5 linked regions of the Canis lupus familiaris genome follow. The protein of the gene in region 1 purifies or fractionates together with the protein of each later gene. This does not show direct contact. Links are inferred from orthologs where the notes say so. Each region holds a gene or a part of one and is shown on either strand. Other genes may lie near its edges.

What was found.
Region 2: the proteins of CHD4 (region 1) and PARP1 purify together in Homo sapiens (affinity purification with mass spectrometry; 4 studies listed by BioGRID and IntAct, with this or other methods). This does not show direct contact. The link is inferred for Canis lupus familiaris from reciprocal best matches to the Homo sapiens genes CHD4 and PARP1.
Region 3: the proteins of CHD4 (region 1) and SMARCC1 purify together in Homo sapiens (affinity purification with western blotting; 6 studies listed by BioGRID, with this or other methods). This does not show direct contact. The link is inferred for Canis lupus familiaris from reciprocal best matches to the Homo sapiens genes CHD4 and SMARCC1.
Region 4: the proteins of CHD4 (region 1) and SIN3A purify together in Homo sapiens (affinity purification with mass spectrometry; 3 studies listed by BioGRID, with this or other methods). This does not show direct contact. The link is inferred for Canis lupus familiaris from reciprocal best matches to the Homo sapiens genes CHD4 and SIN3A.
Region 5: the proteins of CHD4 (region 1) and SRRM1 purify together in Homo sapiens (affinity purification with mass spectrometry; 3 studies listed by BioGRID). This does not show direct contact. The link is inferred for Canis lupus familiaris from reciprocal best matches to the Homo sapiens genes CHD4 and SRRM1.

What each region holds. Positions count from the first base shown.
Region 1 is NC_049248.1:7,660,347-7,663,846, forward strand, and holds part of CHD4 (chromodomain-helicase-DNA-binding protein 4), read right to left. Parts: coding exon 3,357-3,500; intron 3,267-3,356; coding exon 3,178-3,266; intron 3,075-3,177; coding exon 2,941-3,074; intron 2,621-2,940; coding exon 2,476-2,620; intron 2,363-2,475; coding exon 2,197-2,362; intron 2,143-2,196; exon of another isoform or gene 2,003-2,142; intron 1,917-2,002; coding exon 1,819-1,916; intron 1,710-1,818; coding exon 1,580-1,709; intron 1,190-1,579; coding exon 1,118-1,189; intron 815-1,117; coding exon 677-814; intron 418-676; coding exon 309-417; intron 198-308; coding exon 65-197; intron 1-64. UniProt on the Homo sapiens protein: ATP-dependent chromatin-remodeling factor that binds and distorts nucleosomal DNA. Acts as a component of the histone deacetylase NuRD complex which participates in the remodeling of chromatin.
Region 2 is NC_049228.1:38,456,305-38,459,804, reverse strand, and holds part of PARP1 (poly [ADP-ribose] polymerase 1), read right to left. Parts: intron 1,857-3,500; coding exon 1,691-1,856; intron 1-1,690. UniProt on the Homo sapiens protein: Poly-ADP-ribosyltransferase that mediates poly-ADP-ribosylation of proteins and plays a key role in DNA repair.
Region 3 is NC_049241.1:41,739,512-41,743,011, reverse strand, and holds part of SMARCC1 (SWI/SNF complex subunit SMARCC1), read right to left. Parts: intron 1,433-3,500; coding exon 1,329-1,432; 3' UTR 1-1,328. UniProt on the Homo sapiens protein: Involved in transcriptional activation and repression of select genes by chromatin remodeling (alteration of DNA-nucleosome topology).
Region 4 is NC_049251.1:38,711,407-38,714,906, forward strand, and holds part of SIN3A (paired amphipathic helix protein Sin3a), read right to left. Parts: intron 2,501-3,500; coding exon 2,394-2,500; intron 1,690-2,393; coding exon 1,407-1,689; intron 1,031-1,406; exon of another isoform or gene 787-1,030; intron 360-786; coding exon 108-359; intron 1-107. UniProt on the Homo sapiens protein: Acts as a transcriptional repressor. Corepressor for REST. Interacts with MXI1 to repress MYC responsive genes and antagonize MYC oncogenic activities. Also interacts with MXD1-MAX heterodimers to repress transcription by tethering SIN3A to DNA.
Region 5 is NC_049223.1:74,414,054-74,417,553, reverse strand, and holds the end of SRRM1 (serine/arginine repetitive matrix protein 1), read left to right. Parts: intron 1-1,502; coding exon 1,503-1,712; intron 1,713-2,234; coding exon 2,235-2,339; 3' UTR 2,340-3,266; downstream 3,267-3,500. UniProt on the Homo sapiens protein: Part of pre- and post-splicing multiprotein mRNP complexes. As a component of the minor spliceosome, involved in the splicing of U12-type introns in pre-mRNAs. Involved in numerous pre-mRNA processing events.

The DNA of each region.
Region 1 (3,500 bases):
TACAGTCCCTTCTGCATTTCAAAGGCTGTCACTTCAATACTATATTCCTCCCTATCCTGCTCACCTTGAACCTTCGGGCTAGAAACTTATTCTTGATCTCTAAGAAATTGCCACGATTCATTTCACCCTTGAAAGGTTCATTGAGGATGGCATAGCGTGGGTCATTCTGGATGTCCTGCCACCGGGCATAGCCATGGCTATTGGAAAATTGCTCAGGAAAAACAAAACAAGGAAAGCAGAAACTTCAAACAGTAGGACCTTCAGAACCCTTTACCAAGAACCTCAGCCCAGACTCCAGCAAAGGATACTTTATGATGCCAGCCAGCAGCCAGTAGTCGTGCCGCCGATGCCAAATCTCGTAAGTCTTCTTAGTGACTGTGGCTGCCCGCTCCTCATTCTGCCAAAGGGAGTGCAACTCTGAATAGGAATTTGGGGAAGGTGGAGAAGAACAAGAGAGGCAAATATCTGTAAGAATTCAAAAAGCTATTTATTCCTGGCCCACAGATGCCATCTTAGGAGTAGGCCTCTGGCTTTCTAACATAGAGTCAGAGGAATGTGCAATCAACTTGGCAGTCCCTTATCTGGTAGAGGTAAAATCTTTGTATCCTGGCCTCTGACAAGAACCCTACTTTCACTTCAGATCCTTCTAACCCCAGTTGGTCCCTCAATGTCATACCAGTAAAACCACCATCTGCAATATTGAACATGAAACGTTGTTTGATATTTTTTTTCTGCTTCTCATCATTCAGGTCCTTGGGGGTCTCTCCATTCTGAAGCATCACCTCTTTTTTCTCTTCTTCTTCTTTTTTCTCTTCTACAGGATATGCAGAAAAAAAATGTCAGCTCCAGACAAAAGCATAGCACCTTGGTCCTTACCCACAGCACTATATGCTCTAAGCATGCAGCCACCTTCACCCTTTCTCCACACAGGTATTTCTCAAACCCAGAAAAATGTCACTGGCCCGTGACAATCATATGTAGGGACAGTTGGGAGTCTTTTAGCTTGGGATTAAATAGTTATATGGGTGTGAGAAGCCAGGGGGTGTACCAGAGATAAAGTCCTTGCATCTAGTTTTAGAGTCCTTTTTAGTCACGATCAGCTTCTCCAAACACTCACCTTTGTCCTCTACCACAATGGGGGTCAGATCTACTGCTGACTTCTCTTCTACCTTCTCCACGTCAGCAACACCTGGGGGGAACAGATGGGATTTGAGAGTATATAAAGAACGTTCTGGGGTGCCTGGCTGGCTGTCGTTAGAGCATGCAACTCTTGATCTCGGGGTTGTGAGTTCGAGCCCCATGGTGGGTACAGGTTACTTAAAAATAAAATCTTTATAAGAAAATAAAAATAAAGAAGATTCTCCTCTGTCCCACACCAGTTAAGACTGGGGGACAGTCTTAACCCCAAATCTCAATGACTAACATCATAAAAAATGTCTTAAGGGATTAAAAACCCTCAATATAAAATCAAGGGTAGGGGATTCTCCAGGGTGTCACTTCCTCCTGACCTTTCCTTAGCCCAGCTAGAAGTACCTAAGTTTCACAGGGATCTGGATGTAATACTTGGAAATGTGGATACCTTTGGGCTCTGTCTCCATTGGTTCCTCTGTTCTCTCCTTCACCTCCGCCTTTTCTACTTTCTCCTCAACCTCAGGAGGTTCAACAAGGACTTTTTCATCCTCTGAGGCAGGGGCAGGGGGTTGTGTACACTTCAAAGGAAAAAGTACATAAGTTGAGGCAGACAGGCCAGCAACTGAAAAGATGAATGGGCTTCTTCATTTATCTTCCGTATGGCATCCGGTCACCCCCATCTCTTACCTCAACAGTGGCCTCCGGAGCTGTAGATTTAACCTCCTTTTCTCCTTCTACACTCTCTTCTTCTTTGAGGCTATTCTCCTCTATTTTTATCCCATCCTCTGCAGACCAATAGAAGGCAATTAATTAGGAAGAAAGTTCTAGATCAGAGAGAAGGTCATGCCTTCTCAGTTGGTCTTATCTTAAAATTGTCCTCTCGTGCCTTTAAGAGCCAGCCCTATTCTTAGGACGGCTCTCCTAAACTGAGAGGGAGATTGCTGTGTGTCCTGCCAGACTCCTCTGTCAGAGCTCAATACAAGGGAGCAGAAGAAACACTGGCAAGGACCAAAAAAAAAAAAAAGAAGAAGAACAGAAAAGGATAGACAGTACAGACAGACTTACCAGCAGGTGGAGCAGGTGCAGGGGTATTGGGTTGTGTGTCCCCCGGAGTGGAGGGTGTAGGAGTCTTTGGAGAAGGTGACCCTGGCTGGGACATTTTCTTATTTTCTTCTACTTCAGCAAGCTCAGGCATGCTCCAACGCCCATTGACATGTTCAAACTCCTGAACCTGTAGCAATGGGACAGGAAGGTGAAGACCAATTCCAGCTCTAGGCTCCTCTCCCGTTTGTCCTCTAGTTTCCCGTAGAAACTCTGAACAATGCAGAGAGGCTTAGGGCTCACCTTCTTTCGAATCAAGGACATGACACCAATCCTGGTAAGGACATGCTGGCGAGACAAGCCTTCTCGGGGGACACCATCAGCAAAGGTCTCAGCCCCATCTGCTCCTGGCTCACATAAATGTCGCATGAAAAGAGATACGTAAGCCCTGTAGCAAAGAAGTGAGAAAATGAGTTCAACAGCAATCAGGCCAACTCCTAGAGGAGATCTTTCCACCAAACAACTCTGGCTCCATCTTAAGATAAAGCTGCCATCACACTGAAGGCCAGTTCTCCAGAACCCACACCATGCCCCAGGTTCTCCTCTAGGGAAACTAGGAACACAAGGAACCCTATTATTAGTGGTTACACCCACCAACTTCAACAGAGGAACCTGCCTGTTTCCGTGTGCAGCCTTGACTAGTACCATGGAACCACCAGAGATCAGAAGTTTTTGCTCTACCATCAGTCATTCCAGCTCTCCACTTACTTGAACTCTTTCTCTGATTTGCCTCGCAGATCTCTCACAAGCCACTGGGTGGTAAAAGCATCCTGAGGTGGCATCCCATACCGCATAATTGCATTAAGAAAGGCTTTTCGCTGGCGAGCATTAAAGCCAAGTACCTAGAGGAAGGAGGAGCCTAAGTGAGAGGGAGTAGGCCTTACTCCATCGATGACCAAGTATCTAGCACTCACCCACCCCACCTTAGAACCAAATGGCACTTACTTCGATATTTCCACCAACACGAGCCAACAGAGGAGGCAATGGCTTATCTTTATCATTCCGCAGGCCCTTACGGCTGGGCCTGCGGGGAGCTGCAAGAAGAAAAGGATGTGTGAGTGATGCTGGTAGGGGTGTGAAACAAAGCAATATTTAAAAAGTCAGCAGAAAGGCATAGCTCTCACCTTCTGAACGTTCATCAAAGTCTTCATCACCTTCCTCTGAGGCCACTGAATAATCGGACTGGTTGTCGGACTGGTCGTCCTGCCAATCTGGAGGGAGAGAGGGCAGATGAGCGGGGCCCACTGCTCTAGTGGAACGGCCCATGG
Region 2 (3,500 bases), on another chromosome or scaffold:
AAAAGACATCTGCAAAAGACAAAAGACCACTATCCAAAATACATGAACAACTCTAAAACTCAAGGAAAGAACATGAAAGATGAATGGCAAAATATCCAGACTCTTTCCCAAATAGAGATGCAGATGGCAATAAGCACACGAAAAGATGCTCCACATTGTAGGGTATTAGGGGACTGCAAACCAACTCAAGACACCTGTACACACCCATCAGAATGGTTAAAATCCTGAACCCAGACATACCAAGTGCTAGTGAGGGAGTGATGGAAATGCAAACTGGTACAGCTGCTTAGAGAGCTGGTTTGCGGGTTTCTTTTCTTTCTTTTTTTTTTTTTTTAAGATTTTATTTATTTATTCATAGAGACAGAGACACAGGCAGAGGGAGAAGCAGGCTCCATGCAGAGAGCCCGATATGGGACTCAATCCAGGGTCTCCAGGATCACGCCCTGGGCTGCAGGCGGCGCCAAACCGCTGCACCACCGGGGCTGCCCCTGGTTTGCGGGGTTTCTTACAAAATGAAGCCTACGCTTCCCCAGAGGATGAGCAGTCATGCTCTTTGCTTTCTATCCAAATGAAAGTCTGCACAAAATTTACACATGGATGTGCACCTAAGTCTGCACAAAAATTTACACACGGATGTTCACAGCACTTTTATTTGCATTTACTGAATCTTGGAAGCAACCAAGATATCCTTCCTAACGAACAGACCGTGGTCCATCCAGACAATGGAATGTTATTCAGGGTTAAAGGGAACGGAGCCATCAAGCCCCGAAGAGACACAGAGGAACCTGAAATGCCTGTTAATTATTAAGTAGAGAAGCCAATCTGAAGAGACTACATACGAATGACTCCAAATACAGATGACACTTGAACAAAGTGGGAGTTGGGATGTTGACCTTCCTCGTGCACTGAAAACCTATGGGTCACTTGAGTCCCCTGAAACCTTTTTTTTTTTTAAAAGATTTTATTTATTTGATAGAAAGCAAGCGAGTGTGAGCAGGAGGAGTGTGAGCAGGAGGAATGGCAGAGGGAGAAGCAGACTCCCCACTGAGCAGGGAGCCTGATGTGGAACTTGATCCCAGGACCTGGGATCATGACCTGAAGGCAGATGCTTCACTGAGTGAGCCTCCCAGGTGCCCCACAATACCCCTGAAACTTAACTACTAACAGCCTACTGTTCACGGGAAGCCCTACTGATAACCAACAGTTAACACATCCTTTGTTATAAGTATTAAATATTGAACTCCCAATAAGGTAAACCTCAAAAAAGAAAATGTTATTAAGTAAACACATTTATAGTAGTGTTGAATTTACTGAAGATTAGACAGAAGCAGACCAGTTCAAACCCATGTTGTTCAAAGGTCAATTGTGTATTGTCCAAACCCATACAATGTACACTACCACACGTGAATCCTTAAACCTTGGACCTGGGGTGATAATGAAGGGTCCACTTGAACACATGTACCGCTGTGGAGGGAGACAGAGGGAGAGGCCCTGCCTGTGTGGCGGCAGGAGGTAAATGGGAAAACTCGTTGAAAAACAAAAACAGCCTACCATAGGCAAGCCAAGGAGGTGCTGCCGAAATCACAGGTAACAAAGCTGAAGGGCTCCCCACCCCCCAGAAGAGGTCCCCAGGGAAGCTGCCCAGGTGGGACTGGGGGTCTGCACCTGCTGCCCCCAGGTCCATACACACCTGTCACGCCTCCAGCCTCCGCAGTCTTTTTGACTTTCTGCTGGTCATCCCACCTGAGTTCAGAGAACCCGTCCACCTCCACGTCAGGGTGCCGGATGGAGTGGCCGACCTTCCAGAAGCAGGAAAAGTGGTACCAGTGTGGGACTTTTCCATCGAACATGGGTGACTAGGAGAGAACAGAGGGAGATGAGTGAGCAGCCTCAAGCCCAGCCCTTGGCAGCTGGCCCTGTCCCGTGTCATGTGAGAAAATGCATCCCAGTCCACAGTTCTCAAGATCTTCCCCAACAGCTGTCTGCTGAAGGTGGGAGTCTGTTCTCAGGACATGGGACACAGATGGGAACAGGGGAGCTTCTAAACAGAACCTAGCCCCAGAGGCCTTCTAACCACAGGCTTCACGCTTCAGTGACATGACTTCCCTCCCAGCATCCTGGAATGCACACAGGACCCCCGCTGCTGCCCCTGTGGGGCCTGTGTGGCCCAGAAAGGGTTCCCTTAGTGCGTCTGCAGTTAAAATAATGAGGAACAAGTCCCAAATAATGAGCAAGGCAGAGAAACTGTGTCAGGAAACAGTGTCAAGCTGGCGGTCTGGGGAGCAGATGACAGAAGTCCCCAGGGCCTGGAGCCAGACTATCAGCTCCCTCACTGGCCTCTGGGAAGTCTGGCCAGGGGGGAAAGGTGCTTCCCCTCTCATGGTGGACTTCCTCTTTCCTTTGATGCTTCATACTCAACAGGCTGCTGACTCCACAGCACCAGGCTCTTCTCCCTGTGTGGTGTCACCTTTGGTCTCCTGGGCCCCTAGCACCTCTGGCTTCAGAGAAGGCACAGTGGTGGTGACCAGGCACAGTGGGGCTAATGCTGGCACTTACTTGGTCCCTGGCCCTCTTCGCAAGCCATCACACGTAACCTTCAACTACCTCTGGGTGGCAACCAGCATCCCCGTCCACAGATGTCTGCGGCAAGTGACTCAGCCTGACTGCACCGACACCAAGTTTTAGTCCACTACTCTGCTCGGCAGGAAGAGCTACCGAAACACACAAACTTTTTTTTTTTTTTTTTACACAAACGGTTCTGATCAAGGCAGAAGAGGCTCCAAATATCTGCCTTTATAGAAAATAAAGCTAAATGCCACACAGATGGAATAAAAGCATTAAAACAGCATCAAAAATAAATACCACAAATTTTTGGATGGAACAGTCTGACAGGGGAAATATTCTGGAAAAACAGTGATGAGTTCTCCCACCAAGCCCCCTCCTGCTGGGAGTGGCCTCTTAATCAGTATAATACATGCAGAGGGAGGGTTCAGGCCAGGGTACTTCAAGGACTCCCTAGCATCAAGCAGCCTGGTTTACAGCACAATAGCTCTTCCCTGGGCCCTGAATGCTCCACTGCCCTATTCAGAGCAAGTGGCACCTTCCCATCTCCCCAGAAGGTTCCTTACAAGCTCCTCCTTGCTAAGAAGGATCCATTTGGGCCATTATTCAATGTCCATGTCCTGCACTAGGCTGGAAGCTCCCGGAAGGGCAACAATGCCCACCTTGGTACCATCATGCAATGCCTACTCATAGAGGACACAGAGAGAGTGTGGAACACCCCAAGTTTGGAGATAAGAAAGGGAAAGGATGGGGGAAGTCCTGCTCTGGAAAAGATGCCCTCCCAACAGAACAAAAGATGGTGCCCCCACCCCCCAAAAAGGCATTTCAGAATGGACTTGCATTTCAGCTCTCAAACTTCCAACAAGGCAGGCGAAGCGTATTCCACCTTGCTGTACATCTGCAGAGACTGGCACTTGGGCTCCTTTTGCCTCCGTGTC
Region 3 (3,500 bases), on another chromosome or scaffold:
GAGCTCAAGTTAAGGCATTTTTGTGGCTCCTCATCTGGAATGGCATTCTGATCTCCCAGTCTGAGTACCCCAAAGTTCAAAGCATGATGCTCTGATTGCCAACTGAGTTCCTTGGTGCCCCCAGAATCTTCCTGATAACCTTGCGACAGATGGAATGTGAGATCTCAGGAAGGGAAGAGAGAAGGTACGAGAGGCCCTTGATCCTGCCCCACTTCTCCAATCCCATCCCAAACCTAAAGTACCGCTTCACTAAACCCCACTCACCCTGGACTGCAAGAGGTAGTTTGGGGACTTGAACCCCCAGCCAATCCTAACCAACTTCCATGAGCTAAAATGTTTAGCACTATCTACTCACTTTTTTTTTTTCCGTTTTAGAGTTTTTTTTTTTTTTTTTTTAAAGGCGGGGCAAAGAATGAATACAAAGCAGTGACTAGTGGACTAGACTCACTGGGTAGTCATTGCCATAGGCTCTTAAAATGTTCCTGGCTAGTCTAGGGAACAAAGGAATGCCTCCCCCAAGCCCCACTCCTAATCCAACGAAGCACCTGCATAGAAAGCCAGAATCGGTGGGCCTGGGGAAGGAGTGGGTCTGCTCTAATGCTTGTGCATACCCCTACCGGGGACTAAAGGGGCGTGTTCTGCCACACAGGGTGGAGGTCCTCACATTCCTCACCAGGAATAAAATCAGTGGGGTCCCGTCCCCATCTCTTTGAATTTTGGTGTGTCTATGTGGGGCAAAAGTCTCATGCAACTTCACCATCAGCACCAATCTTAGCTCAGATTAGCAGAAATAAGGTCACTTATAATGCCTTTAGGTTTGTCCCCTCTGGCTATTCCCTCTGCCCATCACCATTTTTTGGTTCCTATGAACTTAGGATGCTCCCATTTAAAGCAACAATGACAAAAGAAAAAAGAAAACATAATGATTATAAAGCATTATCCACATAAGCATAAGACAAAGCCAAAAACTGCAGGAGAGCAAAAACAATAGACATAAAATTCGAATGTTGATAGGACCTGCAGAGAAACTGTCAGTATACCCCACACCAGGATGGGGGGGGGGGGGGACGCAGGTTACCATTAGGATGACCAGGGCGCACTGTCACTGCAGGCTCCCCGCCTCCCGGCAGGCCGGCAGAGGACCTAACACAAGAGGTGTGGGAGCACGGAGAGGGGTTGGCAAGAGGAACAGGGAAATATGGGATGCGTGCTTGGGGCCGCGAGAAGAAAAATCCTAAAAGAAACCCAAGGAAGCTGAGGAACTCAAGTCTCATCATCTGCCCGGCAGCTGGCGGCGCTGGGTGTGGACGCTGTCCCCGTCTTCCAGGCTAGGGGGCCGCCGACGCTGGAGGGCCTGGAGCAGGAGGCGGAGGGACTCCATCTGCAGGCGGTGGTGGTGGTGGCGGCTGCTGCTGCTGCGGCGGAGGGGCATCTGCAAACACATCCAAGAGGGACTTGTCATTGCTGGAAACAAGGGCTTGGGAGAGAGCCCATTCAGAGAAAAGTGATATAGGAAGGCATTTTCTTTATGGCAGGCAATAAACGCAGCCTCTGAGGCACTGCCGCTACCGCGGGGGGCCATCCGGATCAGGTCCACGCGTACCTCCGGGTCTCGGCTCACATGCTGAGGTGTCTGAATCTGTCCCAACCTCCTTCGAGGCCCAGCCCTTCCAAGAATCACTCCAGACCTTTTCAGAACTTAATTATATTTTGATTTTATTGCATTTTAATGGTTCTAATTTTATTTCTTCAGTTAAATGATAAAGCTCCTTCCTGGGCAAGTTCTGTGTCTTCTTTCTCTCACAGTGCCTGGCCTAGGTGGGCACAAAACAGATTATCAATAACTTCTTGCGGATTAAGTGTCTCCACCAGGGTCAGAGAGCTTCACTCGAGGCAGCTGCTGACAAGCTGGACAGTCCTGGGAGGCCCCACAGCTCCTGAACTGCAGTCCTTGGATTTTTGGCCAAAACTAGGTCAGGTCCTGAAGGGAACAATTAGTATGAGTGTCTGGGGCTCTTTCCTATTTCCACTTTAGCTGCTTAATGTATAGAGGAACCCTAGAGATTATTTAATCCAGGGTTCTTTAAACCTTCTGATTTTGTCAGAAATGAAAACATATGAAACAATTTAAGTACGGCCTTGCTTACCAATCAGTTCACCCAACCTTCCCCCCAGGAGATTTCCATCCAACTACTAAAGCTCTTAAAAGCATTCTGAAGCCCACTGATCTAATCCCTTCCCTTTCCAGCGAAGGAATCTCAGGCTGGAAGAGGGGAACCACCTCACCCAATGAGGCCTACCTGGGATCTGAGAGCCAAGTCAGCGGCTCAGAATCCTGGAAACACTCATTTGTGGCAGGAAGTGGGGGAAGAGAGCACCTGAAACTCAAACCCTCTGTAGTCTCAAGGTGCTGCTCCAAGTGCCCTTCAGGATGAAATCCTGGACAGTGCTAAAGACCAAGGATACTGTTTCTGCAAGGGATGGCAAACTGGTCAACCCTCTTGGCAGGCTAGCATGTTTGCATACTGCCTGGAAGGCAGCGAGGTTAAGTGTTCTCTTGCCAAGGAAAAGAAGTATCTGCTAGACTTCAATCGCTAAGCAATGACTCAAGGGAGATCATGTTTTTCTACACCCAGCTATACTGCTGTCTCTTCCATGCACCTGCACTGTTCTAGCCCCTAGGGTCCAAAGAGAAATGAGATATGCCTGTGTGCAGACAGCCGCCTCCTGGCTCTGGGAAGTCTCCCAGAGTGCTACAGTGTATGCAAAGCACTTCAGAGTCTCACATACCTTGTAAATCCTATATAGTAACATCTACTTGTTCATTTCTTGTTTTCCCAACTAAAGCCCCTGGAGACCAGGAATTCTTGAGTCCTAGCTCTCTGTTCTGTGATAGAAGCTAACTCCTTGGCACATACATGAACCTGTAAATGAATCAGGATCACAGATGCATTTGGAATACTTGCATTTTGGGATCATTCTGAGAAGATCTACAGGAGTAAAGGGCAGGGCAGAGCTTCTGAAGTAGGCCTCTGGAGGCTATGATTGGGAAAGACCAAGGGGTGTACTGGAGGAAAGACCTGGCTTCACACATACTGTCAGATAGACACGGCTCAGTAGCACTTGTGCCTTCTCCACAGAGCCTGCTAGGACCTCCACTTCCTTTTCAACATAACCCCTCAATACTGCTTCTACTAAGTCGCTACTACCAATATCCCAGAGTAGCTACAAGAAACTTGTTATTTCTGCCTTAAACCAATTATTTCCTTCTCTGCACCCTCCACTTTTGAACCCTGTGTCCATAACAAGCTCCTATAGGAAAACAACCAGCAGCTGTGTGTATCTACCAAGATTCAAGATAGACGGGCTTAAACAGGAGTGGGTGAGGAATGTCTTTCTGGCCTCCCCACAGACCTCAGTGTTGAGAGTACACAACATAATGGTTATTGCACACGAGGCCAAACAACTGTAAGTATTTGCAGTCATCATCTGTGCACCTG
Region 4 (3,500 bases), on another chromosome or scaffold:
CCAGTAAAACTTAGGGAACATAATAATGGTTATTCAAGTTCTCAGACCAGATGCCCTCAGCATGTGACCTGATTAATTAAGACATGCTGAAAGGGCAACTCTCTTACCTGGTATGTGTGCAAAATTTCCAAAAATGCTTTGTAGATGTCTGGTTGGCCCTGGAACCTGTTCTTGATTTTATTAACATAGTTGATGGCATGATTAAACTCCACAGGCTGATTGTTCTGCAAGGATGGGGCCGTTCCCAACGAGATTGTCACTGGTGTATGAGGCTGGACAGGTGGAGAGCGTGGGGATGCATATGGTGGGAGAGGGGGTGTCTGCTGACTGGCTGGAGTATGTGCTTGTAGTTGGGAAGGCTAAAAAGAAAAAAAGTCATTCTCCTCAGAAATACAGATGGTCTGACATAGGAAAGAAAGGTCAAACTAAAGAGAAACAAGGTGTCTGATCAACAAATGTACTTTATTTACTCTGACCAGGCCAGTTAGCCCAACTCAAATCACACTGGGCAGGCATGGGGAGTGCAAGGGCTCACACTCTCTAATACAGATATTTTTGTTTCAAATTTTCGAAATACAACCTGAGAAGTGGCTACATCTCCAATTACAGGGAAGAATTTTTCTAATGCAATTTTTAAGCTCACTCAACAGGTGCAAACATAATAAGAAAAAAAAAAATCAACCCTTACTCTCCATAGATCTTTAATGTCAAAAGACACTTGTTGCAGAATTCCACATAAAAATCTTCTAAACCACCTCTGTCCAATAGAACTCCAGTGATGGCAATGTTCTTTCATATTGCACTGTCCTATAGAATATAGCCACTAAGCTACCCAGGGCTACTGAGTACTTGAAATGTAGCCAGTACAACTGAGAAACTGAATTTATTTTAATTAGTTTAAATTTAAACACAGCCATATGTGGCTAGAGGCTACTGTATCAGACAGTGCAGTTCTAGAGCAAGTACACACCACCACCATCATCACCACCAGCAACGGGATCTTCTGCTTGGCTTGCCATGACCTAATCTGGTAAATGGAGTGACTTTTATAAAATGATGACCCCGTGGGCAGTAACATAATCTGATTATCAGATGATCATTTCTGCCTGTGCCATCAAAGTACTACTACACAATAAAGTTGCCATCTGTTGGGATGCTCATGGGTTCACAAGGCAGGAGGTGGGGACAAAATAAGTTCTTTATAAGTTATGGATGTGTTGATCTAAACAGATACCTAAGTATGTGGAAGGTAAATGTGAACCATCTTATACCAATGTGACTACTTCAGCTTCTGTGATGAAATCACCACAACTGATGTCTCTAAATTCTATATAAAGGGGAAATATCAAAGGAGGGTGCTTTCTAGGTATGCATTTTACCTGATGCAACGTATTCCAAGTGCTCACCTTGCTGACTTTGGCAGGTGGGGGCTGAGGAGCTGGTTGGGCAGGAGCTGGGGCTGACTGGGCTGAAGGCTGAGAAGGATGCTGGGGTGGTGGCTGAGGCTGGGGCTGGATGCCATGGGTGGGGATCTGATGAACCTGGCCAGGAGTTGTCACATTCACCATGTCATTGGTTTGCACCTCAATCTTGTAGCCAGGGGGCAAGAAGGTATTGAAGCCCATAATCAGGTCGGGATGTCCTTTGAACAGCTGGGACACACGACTAATCACTCCTGGAGTGTCAATGCTGATTAAAACAAAAAACAAAACATGTACATACAAACACACACACACACACACACACACACACCACAAAAAGTTAAAGTGGCAAGCTTTACCAATACCCTAGTAAGAAAAAAATGCACATTCCACTAGGTTCTCTGAATAGGAAAACATGTAAAATCAACCTGCATATCACCAAATCAACAAAATACAAAGAACTCTGAAATTCCAAAGCAATTTTAGCCTCATATTCAAAGAGGTTTGGTCACAATTTTGAACACAACATATATTCACGATAACAGTCCTAACAAGCAGATCCTTAACAGCATATCTAAAGCAGCAACTCCCACGCAGGACCCACTCTCTACCACATGAGGATAAATCATTGTGTGTTCACAGTTTTCACGAGTTACTCTAGCAAGTGAACCACGCCAGAATATTAGCGTACCCTACGTCAACTCCGAGACCAGGTGGGGCTCATCACTATCCTTCTACTTCCCTGATTGAGATGACGTGCTAAGGAAAATTAACCAACAGGGTGAATACAAAGTCCAGGACCCATAATCGTCATCAAGAAAGCAATACATGAAATAAAGACATGATCCTAAAAATTAAACTCCCCAAAAGGAGGCATCCTTTATCTTTCAGCGTACGAAAATAAGCAATATCCTCCCTCCAAAAGCAACATTTCAAGCACAAAGCTTGAATACAACCACATAGATCTTTTACCTCTGAGATTTAAATTCCTTCATGATGTCAAGGAAATCATTGTAGACCTGAGGCTGACTACCAAACTGCAGCTTCACCTGGTCAAGATAGGACAGCGCATCCTCCACCTGAGGCAGGGATAAATCTCAAGGTTATAAAAAGAAAATAAGCCAAGAATTATTTAAAACAAATGATTTATGCCTAAACAAAATTAACATGAAAATAAAATGAAATAAAAATATATAATAAATATACAAGAAAGTATTAAACATTAGTATGGATGCCCATAAAACTCAAGCTTAAAATAAAAATCAATTCATAAAATTTATAGCCTTGCTTTAGATAATTTTGGGGAGAATGATTAGTGAAAAATCATCACATTAATATCATTCACTTATTCATTTCACAAGTATCTACTAAACTACAACATACCGTGCCAGGCCCAACATGAATTACTAAGGAGTCAATGACAAACAAGGCACAGTCCCTGCTCTACAGAAGTTCATTCACATCTAGCCGGGAATCCTGATACAGTAGGGTACGTGGGTGATCACAAAATGCCCAGAGAGCACATGGGAAGGGCACTTCTGCACTAAGAAAAACCTATGGGCACATAAGGGAGGAGGAGGGCTTCCCCAAGAAGTGATGTCTAAACTGAGTCCTAAGGATGAGTACAAGTTAGCCAAAGTGAAGACAGACCTACAAAGTCAGAGGAAGCAGCATGAGCATAATCCCAGACAGGACACCATCTGGTACACTGGGAAAACACAGTTTAGTTTGGCTGAAGGATCTGTGGTGAAGGGGAAGAACGGTGGCAGGAAGAGTGACAAGAGAGGAGACCGAAGAGGAAGCAGGGCCTAGATCCCAAAATGTCCTGCAAATCTTGTTAAAAAACTGTTTAGGGGAGAGGCACATGGGTGGCTCAGTAAGTTAAGCGTCTGACTCCAGCTCAGGTCATGATCTCAGGTTTCTGGGATAAGTCTCCAATCTGGCTCCAAACTCAGTGGGGAGTCGACTTGTCCCTCTGCCCCTCCCCTTGCTCATACTCTTGCACATGCTGTCTCTCTCAAATAAATAAAATCTTTAAAAACAAAACAGAAACAAACAAAAAAGCAGTTTATGGGTGCC
Region 5 (3,500 bases), on another chromosome or scaffold:
GCCTCTCTCTGTGTGTCTCTCTCATGAATAAATAAATAAAATCTTTAATTAAAAAAAAAGTTGCATAAATAAGAATAACACTTGTTTTTACCTTGTGAAGTTTAAATGTCATTGGGATATTAAAGTATTGGAGTTTAAACTATATCATCCCCTCTATGAATCATTAATCTGATCTTGAATAGGTTTCTTTATTGTATGAAGTCAGTAGTTAGATGTCCATGTCAGCAGTCGGGTTGCCTGAATTACTTTACAAAGTAATTGAATGGATTGAGGAATTTTAAGTAACTGCTTACAAATGTGAAATTTGAGAATTACAGATGGAATTCAATTACAGCAGAATTGCCCTTTGCATAATTTTGGCGTTAACAGTTGGACCCTTGAATAGCATTGAGCGGGGCCACTTACACATGGAAATTTTTGGTGAATACAGTACAGCATTGTAAATGTGTTTTTTCTTCCTTATACTTTTTTTTTCCTTATACTTAATGTTTTTTTCTGCAGTTTATTTTATTGTAAGAATATAGCATAAAATGTACATAACGCACAAAATATGTGTTCAGTGACTGTTTATGTTACCCATAAGGCTTCTGGTCTATGTACAGACTGAGGGCTTGTTATATACAGGTTTTCAACTGCATGGAGAGTTGTTGCCTCTAATCCCCCATGTTGTTCAACGGTCAGTGGTTATGCATTAAGGAACAATTTCCAGTCTAGAGCCAGGAGAAGCTGTAACAGTGGCTGGAGAATGGGGCATTCACATGAGTGTGTGTTTAGAATAATAACTGTACTTACTGAAAGCCTGCCACCTGTTAGGCTAGTATTGTGGGCAGTTTACAGATAGACCCTGACAGCTTTATTGGGGACTGCTGTACCCATTTAGGTTTACAGAGGGAGCTTAGAAAAATATTTGAGGTCAAATGGTGAACAGGTTCAGGAGCCAGATTCACCTGAAGTCTAGCTGAGTTCAGAGACTTCTCTTTTGCACATGTTGCTTTCCCTATATTTGGAGGTAGCTTGGGATCCTGGACACCTGACTGGCCTCTCATGGTTGGGAAATTTGGTTTAATGTGGGGGAGATCAGAAAGGTCCTTCAGGGTCCATTCTGACTTTTTTTTTTTTTTTTTAACTTTTATTTATTTATGAGAGAGAGAGAGAGAGAGAGAGGCAAAGACATAGGCAGAGGGAGAAGCAGGCTCCACGCAAGGAGCCCAGTGTGGGACTTGATCCCAGATCCCAGGATCACATCCTGAGCCAAAGGCAGACGCTTCACCACTGAGCCACCCAGGCATCTTAAAATCTTAAAATCTGGGAAGAGCATCTTTACTTGCAATGTGGTTTTCATACTTTTCTTGGCAGGGATTGCCCTTGGGCTCCCCCTCCCCCAAAGCCTTGGGGACTCCTGAGATTTGTCCATTTAATTATTCCCTTGAGAAAGTAAAACGTTTATTGGACAACATTTTAATCTGATTGATGTTATTGTTGGGATTTTTCTGGATTTCTAGAACTCAGACCCAGAAGGAGGTGGAAAGAAAAAGAAGAAAAAGAAGGACAAGAAACACAAAAAGGATAAGAAGCACAAGAAGCACAAAAAACACAAGAAGGAAAAGGCCATGGCAGCAGCCGCTGCAGCAGCTGTCACTCCCACGGCCCCTGCGGCCCCCACGACCACATCAGCACAGGAGGAACCGGAGGCAGAGCCCGAGCCTAAGAAGGTACGTGTGTGTCTTAGACTTCTACAGATCGCTTGGTCACTTGTTGAGAAGAAAAGAATTTTTTTACAATAATGGCTACTCGGCTGTTAGCTAACTCTTCTGATCTATCCTCATTCTTGATATCTACCAAGACGAAGGAGAAGAATATGAATGGCTGCCAAATGCTTACTGTATATTTTTAAAAAATAACTTCTTTAAGATATAATTAACGTGCCATTCACCTATTAAAAGGCACTCAAGGGTGCCTGGCTGGCTCAGTAGAGCACACAACTCTTAACCTCAGGGTTTCAGGGTTGTGAGTTCAAGCCCTGTGTTGGGTATAGAGTACTTAAGTAAAGTAAATTTAAAAAGAAAGTATATGATTGAGGGGTTTTTAGTATATTCATAGAGTTGTGCAGCTGATTGAGGGGGTTTTAGTGTATTAGAGTTGTGCAGTCACTGCCATGATGTGGTTCTGCCCTTGCACCCTACACCTCTCTGCCAGTGTGTCAGGACTCACCAGTGTGGCCCCTCTGGTTTTAGGAAACGGAGAGTGAGCCTGAAGACAACCTCGACGACTTAGAGAAGCACCTGCGTGAAAAGGCGCTGAGGTCGATGCGGAAGGCTCAAGTGTCCCCACAGTCTTAGGCGGGAATGTGTGTCACGATGTACATTTTATTTGGTTTGTATGCAATTCAATTTCAAAATTGCTAAAATGTGTTTGAGCTTTAGACTATAACATTTGTTGTAATAATTGCTAGGTTGAAGTTCACCATGTAAAAAAAAAAGGGGCATGGATTTACATTGCAAAAGGTGTCCACAGTGTATTAGTGACATTCTTTCATTGACAGCTGACATAAATTCATTTAGAGTGAAATATTTTAAGCCAAAAAAAAAATCCTCTTTTTAAAAAAGGGGGTTTCAATATTGTTGGCATTTTTATGGTTTCTTTAAAGGCCTTGGCTATTCCCAGAGGTTTTCCTTTCTTGTCATTTTTTTTTTCTTTATTTTTTTCTCATTTGAGTCTTAGCACCCATTTAAGTTATGATGCTTCCAACCTTGTATGGTTTGCAAGCTTGCCCAGAAATAAGACCACTGTTGAACTACCACAAAGTATAAATGAATATTTTAATGCCACAATCTTTCCTGTTGCCTGTGGAGTCTCTGCTGAAATGAATCAGGATTCGAGCTCTAGGACGAGATGGAAAATGAAAGCATGTTGTTTGCCAGGACACTGTGGGTTTATATTGATGTGTAACAAGTTGATTTGGAACACTGGAATTCATTCTATTCTGTTGTGTTTTTTTGTAAAGGCAATTAACTAGTCCCAGGAAGGATCCTTCAGTTATATAAAAGTTTGTTTTATGAAATGTCATGGCTCCATTCATAATTTTGTCTTGTTCTTCCAATTGGTATATACAACTTTCAGAGCTCTCGTATTTGGAAGGCTGGAAGGGCCCAGACTTTGAAATAGTGTCTTGTTTTCACTGTTTTTGTTTTTTTGTTTTTTTTTTTTTTAAACTAAAGCTATATAAAGCTTGTGGATTAAACAGAATAAATTTCTAAATTTAAAAATGTTGGCCACTCACTTTTACTTAACCGTCTCAATACTGCAGGAACCCACCTTTTTTTTTTTTTTTAATAGAAATCTTAGTTAAGCCTATGTTTTTACCCCCCTTGGCACCTTTGGCACACTGAGGATTGGGCAAGGGAAATAAATGGTGAAATTATTTTTCCGTCTTTATTTTAATAATGAGTGCAGTAAGTGCTGTGAAGGCAAAGTGTGTGGTGAGATGGGAACACCTATGC